Linked DNA regions of Arabidopsis thaliana. The protein of the gene in region 1 interacts with the protein of each later gene in a pairwise test. Each region holds a gene or a part of one and is shown on either strand. Other genes may lie near its edges. The genes, in order: CIPK5 and AT3G04300.

Region 1 (9,004 bases):
GCATTTTCTTAATTTCTTAATTCAGTTGTGATTCTATGTCTTCTAAGTAATGCAAATTTGTAAAGTCAGGACATTTTTGGTTATTTGTTCTTACAGGGGCTAATAACTGATAGCGATAAAGATAGCATTTTGAGAGGTCTTGATGATATTGAGAGACAAATTGAAGCAAATAAGTTTGAATGGAGGACTGATCGAGAAGATGTGCATATGAACATTGAAGCAGCTCTTACTGATCTTATTGGTGAACCTGCAAAGAAACTTCATACTGCAAGGAGCAGAAATGACCAAGTTGCTACTGACTTCAGGCTTTGGTGTCGTGATGCTATCGATACAATTATTGTCAAAATCAGAAATCTTCAGAGAGCACTTGTTGAACTGGCTTTGAAGAATGAGGCTTTGATTGTTCCTGGTTATACTCATCTTCAAAGAGCTCAGCCTGTTTTACTCCCACACGTTCTCTTAACTTTTGTAGAGCAGGTTTGGAATTTCTACTTTGTTTAATTTTTGGTTTTCTGTTACATCGTTTTGTTTAGTTTCTGGTTATGTTATAAAATTGAGCAGCACTCTAATTTGCTTTATGAGGTTCATCTTTTAGATACTATGTCCTCCTTTTCCTGCCTCAGAACATTGTAGGGTTCTTACATTTACTTAGGATTTTACTTTCTTAGCTGGTATTTTGGTTCATGTATGGCAGCTCGAACGTGATGCTGGTCGTTATGTGGACTGTCGAGCAAGGCTAAATTTCTCCCCCCTGGGAGCTTGTGCTTTGGCTGGAACTGGTCTGCCTATTGATAGGTTTATGACTGCAAATGCTCTTGGATTTACCGAACCAATGAGAAACAGGTATGTTCCTAGTTCTTATATTGGTTGCATCAACTCTCTCTAATTATATGTCTTTCTCTTTTGTTTTATGGTTTCTCATTTATTAACTCTTTTCTCCTCTGTTTCAACTAGTATCGATGCAGTCTCAGACCGAGACTTCGTGCTGGAGTTCTTATATACAAATGCCAACACCGGTATTCATTTATCACGGCTTGGAGAAGAGTGGGTACTGTGGGCTTCCGAGGAGTTTGGGTTCATGACTCCAAGTGATTCTGTGTCAACCGGAAGTAGTATAATGCCACAGAAGAAAAATCCAGACCCAATGGAACTTGTCAGAGGAAAATCCGCAAGAGTCATAGGCGATCTGGTCACTGTCTTAACACTGTGCAAAGGACTTCCCCTTGCTTACAACAGAGATTTTCAAGAAGACAAAGAGCCGATGTTCGATAGTACCAAGACAATAATGGGAATGATCGATGTATCTGCAGAATTTGCTCAGAATGTTACATTCAACGAAGACAGAATCAAGAAAAGTCTTCCCGCAGGACATCTTGATGCGACTACTCTCGCTGATTATCTTGTGAAGAAGGTAATGTGGTTTTTATTTATCATATCTTCCATTTTTGTAACTGAAGTCAGAAAGATAAATACTGTTTTGGTTTTTTGATTTCCCAGGGGATGCCTTTTAGGTCATCTCATGACATAGTTGGAAAACTAGTTGGAGTTTGCGTCTCAAAAGGCTGTGAACTTCAGAACTTAAGTCTTGAAGAGATGAAAAAGCTGAGCCCTGTGTTTGAAGAAGATGTGTTTGGATTTTTGGGGGTTGAAAATTCAGTCAATAAGTTCAGTTCCTATGGGTCAACAGGATCAAACTGTGTTGCTGAGCAACTTGGCTACTGGGTCAACAAGCTCAACATTACTTCCACCTGATCCGGACCAAACCATTAGCAAAAGATTTGATGACGTTTGTGTAATTTTCATATTTATTGAGGATTTTTGTCGTTAATACCAGGAAGATTTCAAGCAACATGTTGCAGCGGTTTGAGAAGACCCACAAACAAAATAAGTTTTGTAATATTTGAAATCGAGATAATGTGGAAGAGTTTGGTATTCTTCTCATTTCAATGCTCTCTACAATATCAATCTTTTTATATTCTACAATGAGAAGAAGATTAACTCCAAACTTGTGGATATTTGCCCAAAGCTTAAGAAGTTGGATCAAGGGAAGTGCATTGGAGTTAGGTTGTGATTTGAACATGTCTTTAAATTTCAAGAATACTTTGTCAATGCAGACTTCAATTTTCATTTGAGTTTTTTGAATTTTTGTTTTCTTCTTTTTCAAACCCAATTATTGTTCAGAAATACAACAACAAAAACTAGTGGATTGCATTTGGATGTGATTTTTTTTGAACATGGGGGAGGACCACACATGACATGACACACCCTCTTCCTTAGGAGGTGCAACATCTGTTACAACTTACAATATCCTTTTTATGTTCCAAACAAAATGTCATCCTCCATTTTATTATGACCAAACATAAAGTGACACAAATACGTACCAGTAATAACCTCATTGGTGTTTCTCTTCTCCTAAAATAGTTAAATCTAATCTTAACAAAAAACACTCGATTTAATACTATCCATTTGATGTTGGTGGAGTCACTTTCTGACTGTGACACAACCCTTGTCCTAAAATCCCATGTTAGCCACTGATTGATCCTTTTTTTAGATTATTGGTCGGATATTAATTATGGTGAAAGCTCCATTTCTTTCTTAATGGATTGAGTTTACTGGTGAACCTCATTACTCTTGTTATCTTTTAATCCTTGTTTTTGTCTGTATCCATTTTAACTTTTTGGGGGATTTTTCTTTCACTTAGTATAACTTATACGCCATTAATTCTTACAGGATTGGGTTTCTTCGAAACTTCTTGCATGATGTAGTCGATATTTTTTGTTCTTTAGGTTATTACATTATTATGCTTCTAAAAAAATTACAAAATATGATAGTAAACATATGGTATGAAATGGGTAATTTTGATAGACTGAATACACATAAACATACTCATTTATGCAGAAAATTCAGATTAGCATTATCTTCATCCCATCAATCACATCTAATCTTCTATCTTACGATCATGCCCAGCTACAATTCAAAGTTGGACATGTAGAAGAAAACTAATGAAAAAAAGTCGTCGGATCCCATAAATAAATTAATTTGTTGTGACTTTGTCCTCTCCACTAACTATTTGAACTTCAAAATTCAAATGATTTGACTTCATAACAGAAGGTGAATCTTTTCGAAGTCTCTGAGAAACCACACGTGTCGGTCTTCTAAACCACAACCCGACTCATAGTCATTTTCGTTTTCGACTTAACATACCCTTAATTGTCGATTAATTTAATCTGAACCCAAATTATTTATTCATTTGTACCTAAAAACAACACAATTAGGTTCAATTAGAAGCAAAATCAAAATCCTTACCAAAGAAAAAGAAGTAAAACCAAAATTTTATTAAACCAAAGAAAATTTGGGTTCAATGTAACAGTTCTTAGTTATACTACGTTAACCGATAACCGGTTAAATCAGAACCAAAAACTACTGATTCAACAATCCTCGGAAGAAGTGTTATTATTATCACCGTGCCATGACCAGACGATGTCGTTTAACGCCGGCCGTACTTCTTCTTCGTATAACCTATCGTACTCCAAAGTATCTCCCGCCGATTTGCAAAACTCCACCACCGATATCTCCGGCGCTACTTCAAACACTTCCGCCGTCATCGACAACCGTCCTTTTCTCCCTTCCGTTTTCCCTTCCATCTTCACTTTAAAATCCTTCGTTCTCTTCACTTTCATGTTCATCTCCTTCGTAACCGTTTCTATCTTCTCCATTACCTCCGTCGCCGACGACCGTGACGTAAACACCGATTGCACTTTCCTCTTGCTCTCGAACAAGCTCGATAAGTCAAATCCGGAAGACATCGAGGATATGAATTCGAAAGCGTTGAAGAATTTCGGCGATATCGGCTCTGTTTGATTTTCACAATCTCCGTCTTCTTCTTCTTCTTCGTTGTTTTTGCTGCTTTGAGAACAAATCGGTTCGTCGATTTTGAAAGCTAACGGCGGAGTGAAGTTTTTCCGGAGCCAAGGCGTTCTCATAATCGCCGGAATCGAGATCCGTCGATCTGGATCTACAACGAGGAGTTTCGAAATCAACCTCCTCGCTTCCGGAGAAAACCACGGCGGAAATTCAAAATCCGCTCTGAAAATCTTCCGATACATATTCATCAGATTCTCATCTTGAAACGGCAAACATCCGGCGAGAAGAACATACAAAACGACGCCGCACGACCAGATATCAGCTTTCGCGCCGTCGTATCCTTTCTTCTTTAATACCTCCGGCGCAACATACGCCGGAGTTCCACACTGCGTATGAAGCAATCCGTCTTGAAGAATCTGTTCCGGTAACGCAGATAATCCGAAATCGGAGATTTTCAAATCTCCATTCTCATCTAAAAGAAGATTCTCAGGTTTCAGATCGCGATGAGAAACGCCTCTACTATGGCAATAATCAACGGCTGAGATCAATTGCTGGAAATATCTACGAGCAGCGTCTTCGTGTAACTTACCTTTAGAGATTTTGCAGAAAAGCTCGCCGCCTTTAACGAACTCCATGACGAAGAAGATCTTGGTCTTCGTAGCCATGACTTCTTTCAATTCAACTATGTTGGGATGACGAACGAGCTTCATGATTGAAATCTCGCGTTTGATTTGTTCCATCATTCCAGGTCTCTTCATTACTTGATCCTTGTTGATGACTTTGATTGCGACGCACTCGCCGCCGATGATCTCTTTGCCGTAATAGACTTTGGCGAAGGTTCCTTTGCCTAATAACCTTCCCATCTCGTACTTTCCGAACAGAACTCGCCGTTCTTCCTCCATTTGATATTTACACCGACTAGGGAAAATGAAATAGTGGAAGAAGAAGATGAAGAAGGAGGATTAAGAAAAGGTGGTGTTGAAGCATGAAGTTTGATTAGTATTTTGAGTACATGAGGATATATTACTCTCATAGGTGAAGAAGTAGAGCAATTCCATGGAATATGGGAGAGGAAGAGAAATGAGGAAGAAGAAGAAGAAGTGTGCAAATGAATCACAAACGCAGCTACGTGGTGTCCTCTTATTATATACTGAACACTCTTTGAATTTATAGACAAGGTGATAAGCCACTCACAAAGTCACACATGTCACACTGCAATAACTTTACTTTTTCTTTGGAATTTGTTTTTTATATGGAAAATAAGTTTTTTTTACAAAAAAAAAAAAAAAAAAAAAATGGTCATCATTTAAAACATATTGTTTGCAGTTAAAAAAATTATGGGTACTAGATTTTGTTTTTGTTTTGTTATAGTGTTGTACATAAAGAATTTTGTATAACCTTCTATATTTCTACACACGGCATATTGTTTGCTAGATTTTATTCTTAAGAACAACATTCAGAACAATGTCTCTTGTGTTTTTTCCTTTCTTAATTTGTTAATTACTTGGACAAAACTAGATGCTAACAATTATTTCTAAGACTTTGGGGGTCATATGTATGTTTTTTTTTTTTTTAATATTCTCTATTACCTTATAATGTTAAATCATTTTTGTATAACGTAACACTTAAAATTTTCTATTATTTTACAATACACCAATTTCTAGAAGAAAATAAAACAGTGTCAAAATAATAATCAACGTCAAAGGAAATAGGCAATTTAAATAGGTAAATATAACACAGTATGTGTAAATAACATAACCTAAACTTTAGATTATGTTATCATCAAATAAGATTATGCTGTTTGAATGCTATGATTTTCTATAATTCTATTAAATTTTACTTTTTCACGAATAAATATCGTCGGAGAAAAAGGAATAGGTAATCAATTATTGACAGAACTTCCTTAAAATAATGTCAATAATTCTCTCCAACGGTCTAATGCTTTTTGTCCCCCTTATCTTATGTGGTGGTTCCACCCAACCTTTCGTATAAAAAATTTAAATTATTTTAAAATCATTTCATAAACTAGCATACAAATCAAGTTTCTGGTGAGTAGACCATGAAAATTCTAATTAACATATCCATTTTTTTTTAAAAACAAAAATTCAAAATCATTTACAATATTAATTTGTTTCTAAATCATATAGCTCAATTCCATTTTTATCATCAAAAGATAAAAGATTATTAGCCAAAACTTAATGCACGGCTAGCTAATCGTTATTTAGGGATGTCATGTCACTATCTTCAAAGTAGGGAGATCTATTGTGTTCCACCAAGGAATGTTTTAGGATCTAGTCTACTGATCAGGAATTAGACTACTTTACTAACCATTAATAACACCATAAAAATATAACTAATAATTGTATACAAAAAAACACGTATGCGGGATTAGTCCAAATAGAAGCATACCTTGTCCAAATACATACTAAAGTCAGGGGCAGACCCACGTTATGGCTTGTGGAGGCAAGTGCCCCCAGCAGCAATATATAAATAGGTAAAAAAGTTTACACTAGACAAGATTAATTAAAGCAGCAAAGTGGTTAGAGCTTCCTCCACAAGTCTATATTAAAATAACGAGATTGGACACATAACACATACAGCCTTATGCTGTCTACTAAACGCGACAGAAATGAAAAAACAATGTAAAATAACGATGAATATTCACATTCAAAAGAAGAAGCCAATATCAAACTGTACAACAACAACAACAACAACAAAAAAAGCTTTTAGAAGGAAGCTATGCATGAGTTTTACAGAGAGAAAGCTTTTGCTACATATGAAACCTAATCAAACCTTATTATTCATTATTCATATTCAAAACCATTGTTATTCCACCATCACCTTCACAAAGCAAGCTTATTATACCTCTACAGTTCCCTCCTGCTTTAGCTCTGAGTACATTCAAATGGGTGAAAGTTTCCTTCTGCAAATTCTTGCATCCTAAACCTTTGCATTAGCTCCACAGACCTGCAAATGAATCATCAATGTACCAAATCATCAAACCCATTTTGTGTACTCTGAAACCGCCTTGGAGCTTTTATATTAACTCAAACCACCTATCCCAGAAAACTTACAGAGGATTCTCTCGATTGCGGCTTAGCTTCTGTTGATTACTCTCCATTACTTCCACTACATTGGCGGTTGCTGGTCCAGCTGATCCTCCTGCTACAATTGATGGGACTGATGCGGTTGGGCTCCATATCTGTACACATATTTTTACATGCAAATGTTAGTTTTAGAGATCTTACACGAAATGAAAACCAAACCCTGAAGACAGCTTTGTGTGCCTGCTTACCTTTATTGTGTTATCAATTCCACTCGTTGCTACAACACTATCAAACGGATGGCATTGAATGCAGTTCAAAACTAGAGACGAAAGATGATTCTTTTAGCCAACTCGAAATTCAATGAAAAAAAAAGATACTTATGTAATGGATAAAATGTGAAAGGAAAAAAGATCACCTGATTCATCGCCAACGAGCACTTTCATAAGCCTTCCAGTCTGTTTCTCCCATATAAACCACCGACCGTCATCGCTTCCACTTGCAATATATTCACCTGAAATTTGGTAATAAAATGTTCACAGAAAGTCGATACCGTATTGAATTTCAAATTTTATAAACCGCTTTTTCTACTAGAATGGAAAATTGCACTCAGATAACATGAAAGTTGCAACCCCAAGAAACTTACCTCTCTGACCAAGAAAACTGGCCTGCTTAATATCAGTTCCTACGTTACAGTGGCCAACATATCTACGTTTCATATCAATGGCTCCCTCTGGCTATAATCACCAAAAAACCATTGGTGTAAAAGGTATCCATCAAATTAGGTAAAAGTATGACGCAGCATAAAAGAAGTCAAGTACTAACTTAAAACGTATTCAATGTGTTAAATTTGTTTTGCTTTAAAATAAATAACAATACCATAATCTTAGAACTAACCTGATAAGACGTCCTATCATTTTGAGATGACGATGCAGTTCCTGAGGAGGCATTGTCAACTGTATTTTCCATCGGTTTATCATCACCTACTCTATGAATTCGTAAGTTGAGACTGCCACGCATAGAATTTGAGTCTGTATCTCGTCCTTCATCATCAGACAACGAAGTTTGAATATCCAACTCCAATTCCTCATCATAATCAGAATCTTCTCTTTCGGATCTCGACATATCATGTGAACTGTCACTGTTGGCCTCTGATCTATATAGTATGTCGCTTAAAGAAAGTACTCTAGTAGTTCCAGCTCCTGTCTCTTCGTTTTTCTCAGCTCCAGCTGATTTGTCAAACAAAAGACAAGTACAAGAATATTAAAATGTGAATATAAATTCCCTTGCCTGTTGAATCATGAAAGCTTCTAAGCACATTAATACTCCTTGGGAATGAAAGAATCCACCAAATCTAAAAGAATAGCTCTACATCTGTTACTTTGATACACTTTTGAATCAAAAGAAATATCAGACATATTAACCAACAAAATTAGATGTAGAAAGAGAAGCCAGATGGACTTAAAGATGATACTACGAATCTATGCTTAAGATTTTCTCTCATGTGTCCACATTGATTACTAGAAACGAGTGGTTATAACTCATTGAAGAGCCTAAAAAAACAAAAAACAAAAACATCTAAGCAGAAACATCTTGAACCTCTATCCTAGCTCATAGAGGAAAACAGAAACAGCAGGAAAGTAGATAACATCTGTTACTAAGCAAACCTGCAGGAAAAGACATACATCAGTTGGCACAAACCTGCTTGAAGATCCCTTTTAATGCTCTCCACTTTTGCCACTATATCGGCATCTGATGGGTTCATATGTTGTGCAGCAGTCGCAAAATCTAGAGCTTCTTTACATTTTCCCAACTGCGTGAAAGCACATATGTATATGAAATGGAAGGGTGACTAAAATAAATGCTTATTGCAGAACCATCTCTATGTCAAATAGTAAACTTAAAATTAACTGTGATCAGAGCTATGAATTTACTTGCTGCAGCGCTTCAGACATGTAGTAATGAGCTTTAAAGGATGAAGCATCAATTCTCCGAGCATTATGGCAATCTCTTACGGCCATATGAGCATCATTCTTCCACTTCCTCTGAAAAATAAACAAATCAGCTGATTATGGTTATTAGAGAGGAGTAATGTA
Region 2 (8,687 bases), on another chromosome or scaffold:
CGGATAGTCGTTGGTCATACTGATAGTCGTTGGATAGTCACCGTCACCGAAAGTAAACTTGTAGTATTCGTTAGTTTTGTGGATGGCGAATGTGCTGTCATTGTGTGACATAGATTTAGATCCGTTGAGGAATACTTCACCTTCTGAAGAGTTTCTCTGAACTACTTTCCAAAACCCGGATTTACCACACTGACGGGGACCTACGAACTTAATCTTAAGTTTGGCTGATTCACGTACGACATCTGACTTGTTTGCTAATACAAACATAACTGGTGTTGGTGCTGCTAAATTTGGATGAGTGACCATTAACGGTTGTTGTGGGCATGAGTTGGGATCAGTAGATCCATATTGCATTCGGCAGATCCACATGTTGTAATCCGACGTCATGAAGCTGATGTAATATGGAACGTTGGGCTTAACCGGATCTCCTTCGCCGTCATAAACTACGTCGTTACCCTCACTAACCACACCGGATGTTGTTGTTATTGCAACGAACAAGAAAGAGATCATCATCAATTGGAATGTTTTCATCTTTGTGTTGTTTCTGATCTTCTTGCTTTTGTGTTCTTGTCTTGAGTTTCCTTTTATAGAGATTATGGACATAATGGGTTGGTTACAATACACGTTCTTTTTTGTCTTCTTTCTACTCCTCATGTTGACCTTGCTTCTTAACAATTTATTTTTTCCTTACCATATGGATCTGGTTTACAGAGTGGATCTGAGTCAAAGCTATAATACTAGTTAAAAATGATTAAAACACACGCTCCAAACATAGTATTAAGGCCTTGAATGAGTGTGGTTTTTAAACTAGTTTTTAGTTTTAATTTTTTCTAAAATCTATTTTGTAGCCATTCAAGATTTTGAAAAAACAAGTTTTCCTAAAATATAGGAAATCTAGTTTTTGAGTGTTTTAACAATTTTTCAAAGAAAACCAAAATCTATGTTTTGGGAGTTTCTCTCTCAAAAACAATCGATCACATTTTTTATTTTATTTTTAGATTTGTTTTGTAAAAAAAATACTATCCATTAACATAAAAACCAAAATCTAAACAAATTACCATTCAAGTTTTTTAAGAAACTAAAATCTACACCAAAAACAAAACCCAAGAAAATCAAAAACTAAAAACCAAAAACCAAAATCCAAAATCCAAAAACCATTTTAAAAACTACAAACATTCATGGCCTTAGGATACAGCATGCATGAATTGATCCATGATCCATGCATATTCCTTGTATATAACCATTTGAGATGATGATATTGGCTCACTCCGACAATATACCTTCTTTTTTTCACGTTCACTCTCACGAAGAGAATGACTAATATGTCATAATTAATTTGACATATTTTACCAATTACCACCATGCTGACGATGAATTGACCACATATCCCTCTTGTATATCACATATAAATGGTCAATGTCTTATAATGTAAGATATTTCTCACATATAAATGGTTAATGCACAATTCTTACAACTTACAAGTTTAGGAACGTTAAAAAAAAAATGGTACATGTTTTGTCCCCTTTGTTACCAATTACCATGTCTTCGAATTTGTTTTAATTCGGCTGGCTTGGTGTTACCAAGGAATTTTGGTTCCGGTTTGGTTTTGGTTAAATAAAAACATTGGTTTTATTTCTGTAGTTGAGGTTCGGTTTGGTTTAAGTTGGTTTAACTCTCTATCACTGTTCTTTAGCAAGGAGCGATTAAAGCGAAGAACAGAGTTTGTGGATGGGAAAGAATTGATTTTTCTGTTCGTTCTCCAGTTTTGTTCTTATGGAATGTGTTGAATGTAAACGCTAATAATCATCAGTTTGTGGATGGCGAATCTGCTGTATCTTCAGCTTTCTTCTTGCGTCGTCAGAGGCAGATTCTGTTCTCTAAACTGCGATTTTGATCTCTGCCCAAATATCGTGAGCCGCGGTTCCTTTGATTGCCGCGCCTCCCGCGGTCCTAGCTGGGAGGAGGAGCTCTTCCGCGACGAAGGTTTTGCTTCGTTTGAGTTCGGAAACCGTAAAAAGAAGAGGCCTTGGTGGCTTGATGATGATGATGACGATGACGACAACGATGATTGGATGAATGAAGAAGAAGAAGACTGGTCTATGGTTTTTGAGGTATTACTTCTTCTTTTTGGAATTTAAGAACTGTAATGTTGAATCTCACTTTAAAGTTGCTCACTTTAGATTCACAATGGTTTATGTTTAGTTGTTAGCTCTGTTTAGCCAATTTTAGAGGTTTTGTTTTAATTGCAGGTATTTAGAACATTGAGTTGGATGCTTGCACCAATTGGCATATCTTTGCTTCTTGGAACAGATTCAAACGCGGGTGTAATGGCATTAGCAGTTCCTTTAGTGCAATCTGTGTTGTCTCTTGTGGTTAGTAAAGTTTGGAGCAGGCCAAGCATTAGGTCTATGAAAAGAAGTAGAAGAGATACATTTTCGAGATCTGCGAGTGTAAGTAGTGGAAGAACAAGGAAAGCTAGGCAAGGAGGAAACATGAGGGGTGGTGTAGATAAGGGAGGATACAAGTCATGGATAGTAGGAGATGATGATTCTAACAGCATGGGTACTGGCTATGGAGGATGGGATGATCTAGATACGCTAAGGGAGATTAGAAATGACAATCCATTAAACGAGAATGTTCGTCCAAAACAACAGTTTGAAAGAAAGGCTACTCGGCGGTGGAGAGTTAAGGAGAAGCCATTGCTCTTGAGGATGCTAATTGCTGCCTTCCCTTTTTTGGGTTCATGGACCAAATTGTTGTTTTGACAAGGGATTTATCTAAGTCCTTATACACGCGGTTTGAAAAAGGACAAGAGTTTCTCTCGCGGTTGGTCGTCAAATGAATTCAATCTTCCTGGAATCATAAAGGTTAGCTTTCAATTATCTTGGAACTTAGAAGTTAGAATACACCTCTTACTTGTGATAACTATGCATATTCTGTAAGTTGAGAATATATGCCTGTCAGATTTTTGTTTCTATAAATACAAACGTGTAATAGTTCTTGTTTTGTACAGCCTAATTAGTATCTTCATTTTTTATATAACCAGCACTAATAATTGGTGATGGCGTACCAGATGCTGCTGCTACTGTTTCTTTAGTATGTGAGATTTAAGATTACATACTCTTCTACTTTATCTAGTCAGGTAGCAATACTGCTAGAATATATGCTTTCACATTTATTTGCTTCACATGTTATATTTAAACATTCAAAGGGTTCTTTATTTGTTTTTATTAGTGATAGGAACCAATGGCCTCATGATAAGAATCTTTGATAAAGACTATTTTAAGAGTAAAGAACAATATCAGTTAATAGGGAATCCTTCATTTAGCAAGTTTCTTTAGTACGAAACAGGAGTTCATATCTCTGCTTTACGCGTGATTTGATCTACTGTTTTCCAGATAAACAGAAGTTTCAAAGTGAAACGAATATTGGCATGTGCCGATTGTTTGTTCTATGAGAAACAAAGAAGTTACATCTGAAAACATAATCTAGGAAGGGCTTTACACGTATCCTAAGCATTATCTTTTTGGTTTCTCTTCTATATTTTATTGTCTGAATATAGAGTCTTTTATGCTTCGTGGTGATAAAGACTAACCCAAAACTAGATTGTAGTTAGGAAAAATTATGGAGAAGTAGGAGGATCGAACTTGTAGTGTTTGTCTATGAAAAGTGATACATCCCAAGTGCAGCTAAGTCCCTTGGGGATGGTCACAAGGTCTCCTGCACCAAACTCTACAAACTCAGATGACCCTTTTGGATACACCTTCACCTTTCCCTTCACCAAATAGCATGTCTCTCTTTCTTCAAATACCAATGCATATTTCCCCGGCTGACAAGACCATCTGTTTTGTCAGAGAGATTCATCATGTTATTACCAATAAATTGAGGAATGGAAAAAGTGAAAATCTATGTAGTTAGTAGTAATAGGAGCAGAGCATGTGCATGTTTGATACTTACTTAGGCCATGACATGACTCCAAGGTCAGATAACCTTCTGCTCGAAGGGTTGTTTTCGATTACAATATTCATTTTGGAAGAGGAATAAGGTGAGAATTCGACGATGTTTCAATGTTATTAGATAGAACAGAAAGAAACAGTGAGAACAAAGATAAGAAGAAAGTAGGTATATGAGATGTATTTATATGGTGAAGGACGGAGTAGTTGGTCTGCATGTGTATGTATTTATAAAACCAGGTATGAATAAAGTGACTTCTTCTTTTTTCCCTTCTATTGAAAGGGATAATAGGAGAGAGGAGGAATCTTTAAAGAAACACTTTGACCCAGGATAGATACAAAACCAAGTCAACAAATACATTCATTAAGCTTATTGTGTTAGATAGTCCTTCTAGAAGTGGTTCATACTACAAATTCTCTGGTTTTCTATTTTTCTTGATTGCATTAATCTGATTAAGAAAGTTTCTCCTCTAGAAGGCAAAATGCTGAGCTAGTCTCTCAACAAGCTTTAATGATCTATCCAGATCAAGTCTCCAACCACATGGACCCCTTCTGTTTTGTCCCCGCGTCCACTATGCTTTCCTTTTCACAGTGTTAACGAGTCTTCTGAGCTGAAACTCAGACACAAGTCTCCGGACAATGTAGCCACCATGTGAATTCTGCAGTGATCAAGTGGGTACACTCGAGAGGATTAATATAGGATCTAACTTTTTTCAGCTGTTTTATGCACTATTAGTCTAGATTTGTGTAGCTTGAGGATCAGTTATTCAGCTGTTGCGATCGCACTATTAATCTGGTATCTGGATTTGTGTAGTTTTGAGATCAGTTACACAGTAACTAATCGATAGTTATTCTGTGAAGAGTATTCATATCTTCAGTGTATTTGTTATATGGTTTTGGTTTTTAGTTTCGAAAATGTTTGACTGATTCTTCATTAGAAGATACGTGATAATTCCGGACATTGATTTGTGTAGCCCCCTCAAGTTTGGCTGCTTCCTCAACTGGCTCTGCTTGTTTTTTTTTTTATTCTAACATGCCATGGCATGTGAGGATTATTGGTTGTTTCTAGTATATATGTATCTCCTAATATATGCATGCATAAATTCACATATCCTCAAATTTGAATGCTAGTATATTTGCAATTTTCTGTCTCTGTAGTATGAACAAGTGATAAAGAATGGCAGATAGGTTCAGAATGAAAAAAAAAAAAAAAAAAAAAAAAACTCCATGTGAACACCCTTGTGAATTTGAGAACAGGGTCTTGCTTTGGTTTGGTCTGGTCATATTTCCACACATCGAAAACCTTTACTCTCAGATCTCGAAGAAAGTTTGTACACAAAAGCTTGGTGTTTTACTGAGTTCCTAATTTTCCACTTACATTTCCAAGGAAGTTGACAATTTTCTACATCGGACATGTTTGGGATCAGTGGTAAATTAAATCCTAATGATCTTAAAATCAACAGCTTTTGTTTTGGGAATAAGTTAAAATTTCAGGGTAATAATCTATTCATCTGTATGATCTTATAAGCTTGATTTTATTTATCATTTATAACTAGAGCTACACTCTTGTTTATCTAATCAAATACAAATCTCAAAGGTATGGTGTATATAGGAAATATTCGAACTCAATCCTTTATTTTTAGGTTCAAGCACCCAAACATTGCCGTATCAAACCAATACACATGAAAAGCCAACTAAAAATTTGGTTTGTCTAAACATAACAAATTTGAACTTTCACTAATTAGATGCTTTGAAAAGTGAAGTATAGATATAAACAACTCAAAAGTGTAGGATATATAATTCCACTCTAAACACTTGCATGACCAAAAGTTTTTAAGATCTAGGGTCACGAATTTTGGCTGCAAAAGGAATTGAGGATTTTGACACCAAAACAAAGGAATTAAGGATACTTCATAGAACAAAAAGAAAAGATACTCACTAGTTACGAATGCACAGAAAAGTAAATATAAGTAATTATTATTAATTCAGGTTTACTTCTGGTTCGGTTTAAGGTTTATAAAGAGTAGAAGTAGATGATCTCTGGCGAGGTATCATTTGGAAAAGGAAAGAAACGAATTCGATTCAGTTTTAGACTAATCTAGTTGGGTTGATTAACCAGTGCTGGATCACAATGCAAAGGAGCTTGGAATCGATCTTCTCTCCAGAATTCCATTGTGTTAGAATGCTCCAATTCTGTTTGGTTTAACCAAACCAAAGTCGAATTGATTCGGAAACTTTGTTGAATTTTAATGAGCTTTTCAAATTCATTCTCATGGGTCAAGTTTGTTGATCATTTGGGCTTGTGAGATGTTTGTGGAGTCCTAACGCAAGCAGAGAGCCCAAAACAAAACCATGATTTTCCATAGTGGTACAGTGAAGTTTTTATTTTGGGCCATTCTGTTTCTTTGATATAATTTTATATTTAAAAAGTCTATTTTCTTCTACAGAAAAACTTTGTGTTGGTTGGTTTTTGTTTACGGATAGACATCATTTAATTTTACTGTATAACTTTACGAATAAAGACACTGATATATTTTCACCTTTATGGTAACGAATTTTATCAAAAAAAAGAAGAAAAAAAAGTAACTAATTAAATAGCCGGAAAAGGTTGGTATGATTTGGAGATGATATTTTACGTTTTTTTTTTAATGTATTTTTCAAAAAATCAAAATTCATAAATCATGATGCAGTCGGACAGGGTAGCTTCATCATGTTAATTTATGACGTGAGTTGGTTGAGTTGGTAGATCTCTTAATTTCACTTCTATCTCTCTCTCTCCAATAATTTTATTTATACAGAAAATTACTTAGTAGTATAAAAATCAAGACAAATGAAAAGTCTTCTTTTGATCATTCTTGAGTAATTAGTGGAATGTATTCTGAATTATCCATTTATGCATCGTAATTTGTTAAGTCAACATTTTCAAGTCTCATGTATTAACAAACATAAGGTGTATATGATTAATTAACAAGTAGTATAATTGCTCTTTTACCAATTTCATGAAAACATCAAATGGTTTGTGTAATTTTATCCTAGAAAATATCAAGCATAACCCGCATTTCAAGAAAACAAATTAAAATACATTTTATAATTACACACCAACCAAATTGAACAACACTCCTACTATAAAATACATCAAGATTTTCAAAAAGTATGGTATTGAACACGACCCATTACATTGACATCAATGGCTCTAATTGTTATATACACCTTCTTTTTTTTTTTGAATGCTTTTCTCTTTCTTTCTGGATGCTTTATTTATGTAATATTCCAGCTTTGAAAATTCGTAGGTAGTACGCGTTAATGTGATAACGTTCAAAGGGGAGGCATAGTTGGACAGAAAAAGTTTATCCAAAAATATATATTTAACCAATTGAACTTCTCGTAATTGAACATTTAGATGGCATGAGTTTGACATTGTATAAATCTTAGTGAAGTCTAGTTTAAATTTATCCATCCATCAGCTGATGGAAACATTTTTAGTTTTCAATATTAAATATTATGTCATGTAAAACCCATGACAAAAAAAGGAGAGGATATGATTGATGAGCCGCCTAAATTCACGTATGTTACGTTAACTATATAGCATATAGATATTTCACATATTAACCAAGTAGTTCGAAATGGATGGGTTATACAATATGGTTTCTTTGGGGACCGTCCGGTCACTGCATCTCGATTTGTGACATTGGATATAAACACAAAACTACACAAAAATGGAGATGAAGAACGGTAAAGATTAGTTTCTTTGGATCGATATACATATACCTAATCACTTCAAAATTTACACGTAGATTGCAGACATTGAGATCAGTAACCGTCAATCAAAAAAATTATGTCACATCGAATTTCAATGGTTGAAAGATAATTCCATTTTAGGAGAACAAGCAGTAGTACAATTTCTAACATTTATTACATCCAAACAACAAACAAGACCAATTTTTATGGTGTATCAGTTGGCAGCCTCTATTAATGTCTCTATTTTCTTAAAATCACACCAACAACGAAAAAAAAAAAAAAAAAAAAACAGATACACATTACTTATTGAACCCTAAACCTATTGTCAGTGTATATATATAACACACACTCTCCATATGCTCTCATATCATACGTCAATTTATAAACGTTTCTTCTCATTCGTCATCTAGTCCCATTCTCTGTCCATAACAATGAATATCAATTGTTCTCCATTAGGGTTTCTAATTTCACTCTTCTTCATTGTTACTTTTCTTGCACCACAAGTCAAATCTAGGGCTTTCTTTGTCTTTGGTGACTCTCTCGTCGACAATGGAAACAACGACTACCTCGTCACCACTGCCCGTGCCGACAATTACCCGTATGGTATCGACTACCCGACCCGTAGACCCACCGGACGTTTCTCTAACGGCCTTAACATTCCCGACATTATCAGTAAGCATATTTGATTCAAGCATGGTTATACGATATAATGGTTCGTTAATCAATCTTTAATGTTTGTTTAATATGTCTCTCTCTCTACTAGGTGAGGCTATAGGCATGCCGTCGACTTTGCCGTACCTTAGCCCGCATCTCACCGGAGAAAATCTTCTAGTCGGTGCTAATTTTGCCTCCGCAGGAATTGGAATCCTCAACGACACTGGAATTCAATTCGTAAGCATATCCAATCAATTTTAAAATTCTTGCATTAAATACGCATTCAAGTGTTGCTGATATTAATGCACGACACGACAAGACGTGTTTACCCTCTCCATTAAC

What was found.
Region 2: the proteins of CIPK5 (region 1) and AT3G04300 interact in a two-hybrid assay, tested with the Arabidopsis thaliana proteins (one large-scale study listed by BioGRID).

What each region holds. Positions count from the first base shown.
Region 1 is NC_003076.8:3,442,141-3,451,144, forward strand, and holds CIPK5 (CBL-interacting protein kinase 5), read right to left. Parts: upstream 5,139-9,004; 5' UTR 4,767-5,138; coding exon 3,429-4,766; 3' UTR 2,889-3,428; downstream 1-2,888. Other genes in the region: AT5G10920 (L-Aspartase-like family protein), read left to right, coding at 97-477, 695-843, 955-1,411, 1,498-1,752; ASG2 (transducin family protein / WD-40 repeat family protein), read right to left, coding at 6,750-6,831, 6,939-7,066, 7,160-7,230, 7,327-7,422, 7,555-7,645, 7,806-8,137, 8,610-8,721, 8,843-8,953. UniProt on the Arabidopsis thaliana protein: CIPK serine-threonine protein kinases interact with CBL proteins. Binding of a CBL protein to the regulatory NAF domain of CIPK protein lead to the activation of the kinase in a calcium-dependent manner.
Region 2 is NC_003074.8:1,135,659-1,144,345, reverse strand, and holds AT3G04300 (RmlC-like cupins superfamily protein), read right to left. Parts: upstream 4,218-8,687; 5' UTR 4,029-4,217; coding exon 3,958-4,028; intron 3,843-3,957; coding exon 3,623-3,842; 3' UTR 3,286-3,622; downstream 1-3,285. Other genes in the region: AT3G04320 (Kunitz family trypsin and protease inhibitor protein), read right to left, coding at 1-603; AT3G04310 (uncharacterized protein), read left to right, coding at 1,818-2,111, 2,250-2,765; LTL1 (Li-tolerant lipase 1), read left to right, coding at 8,123-8,363, 8,455-8,582.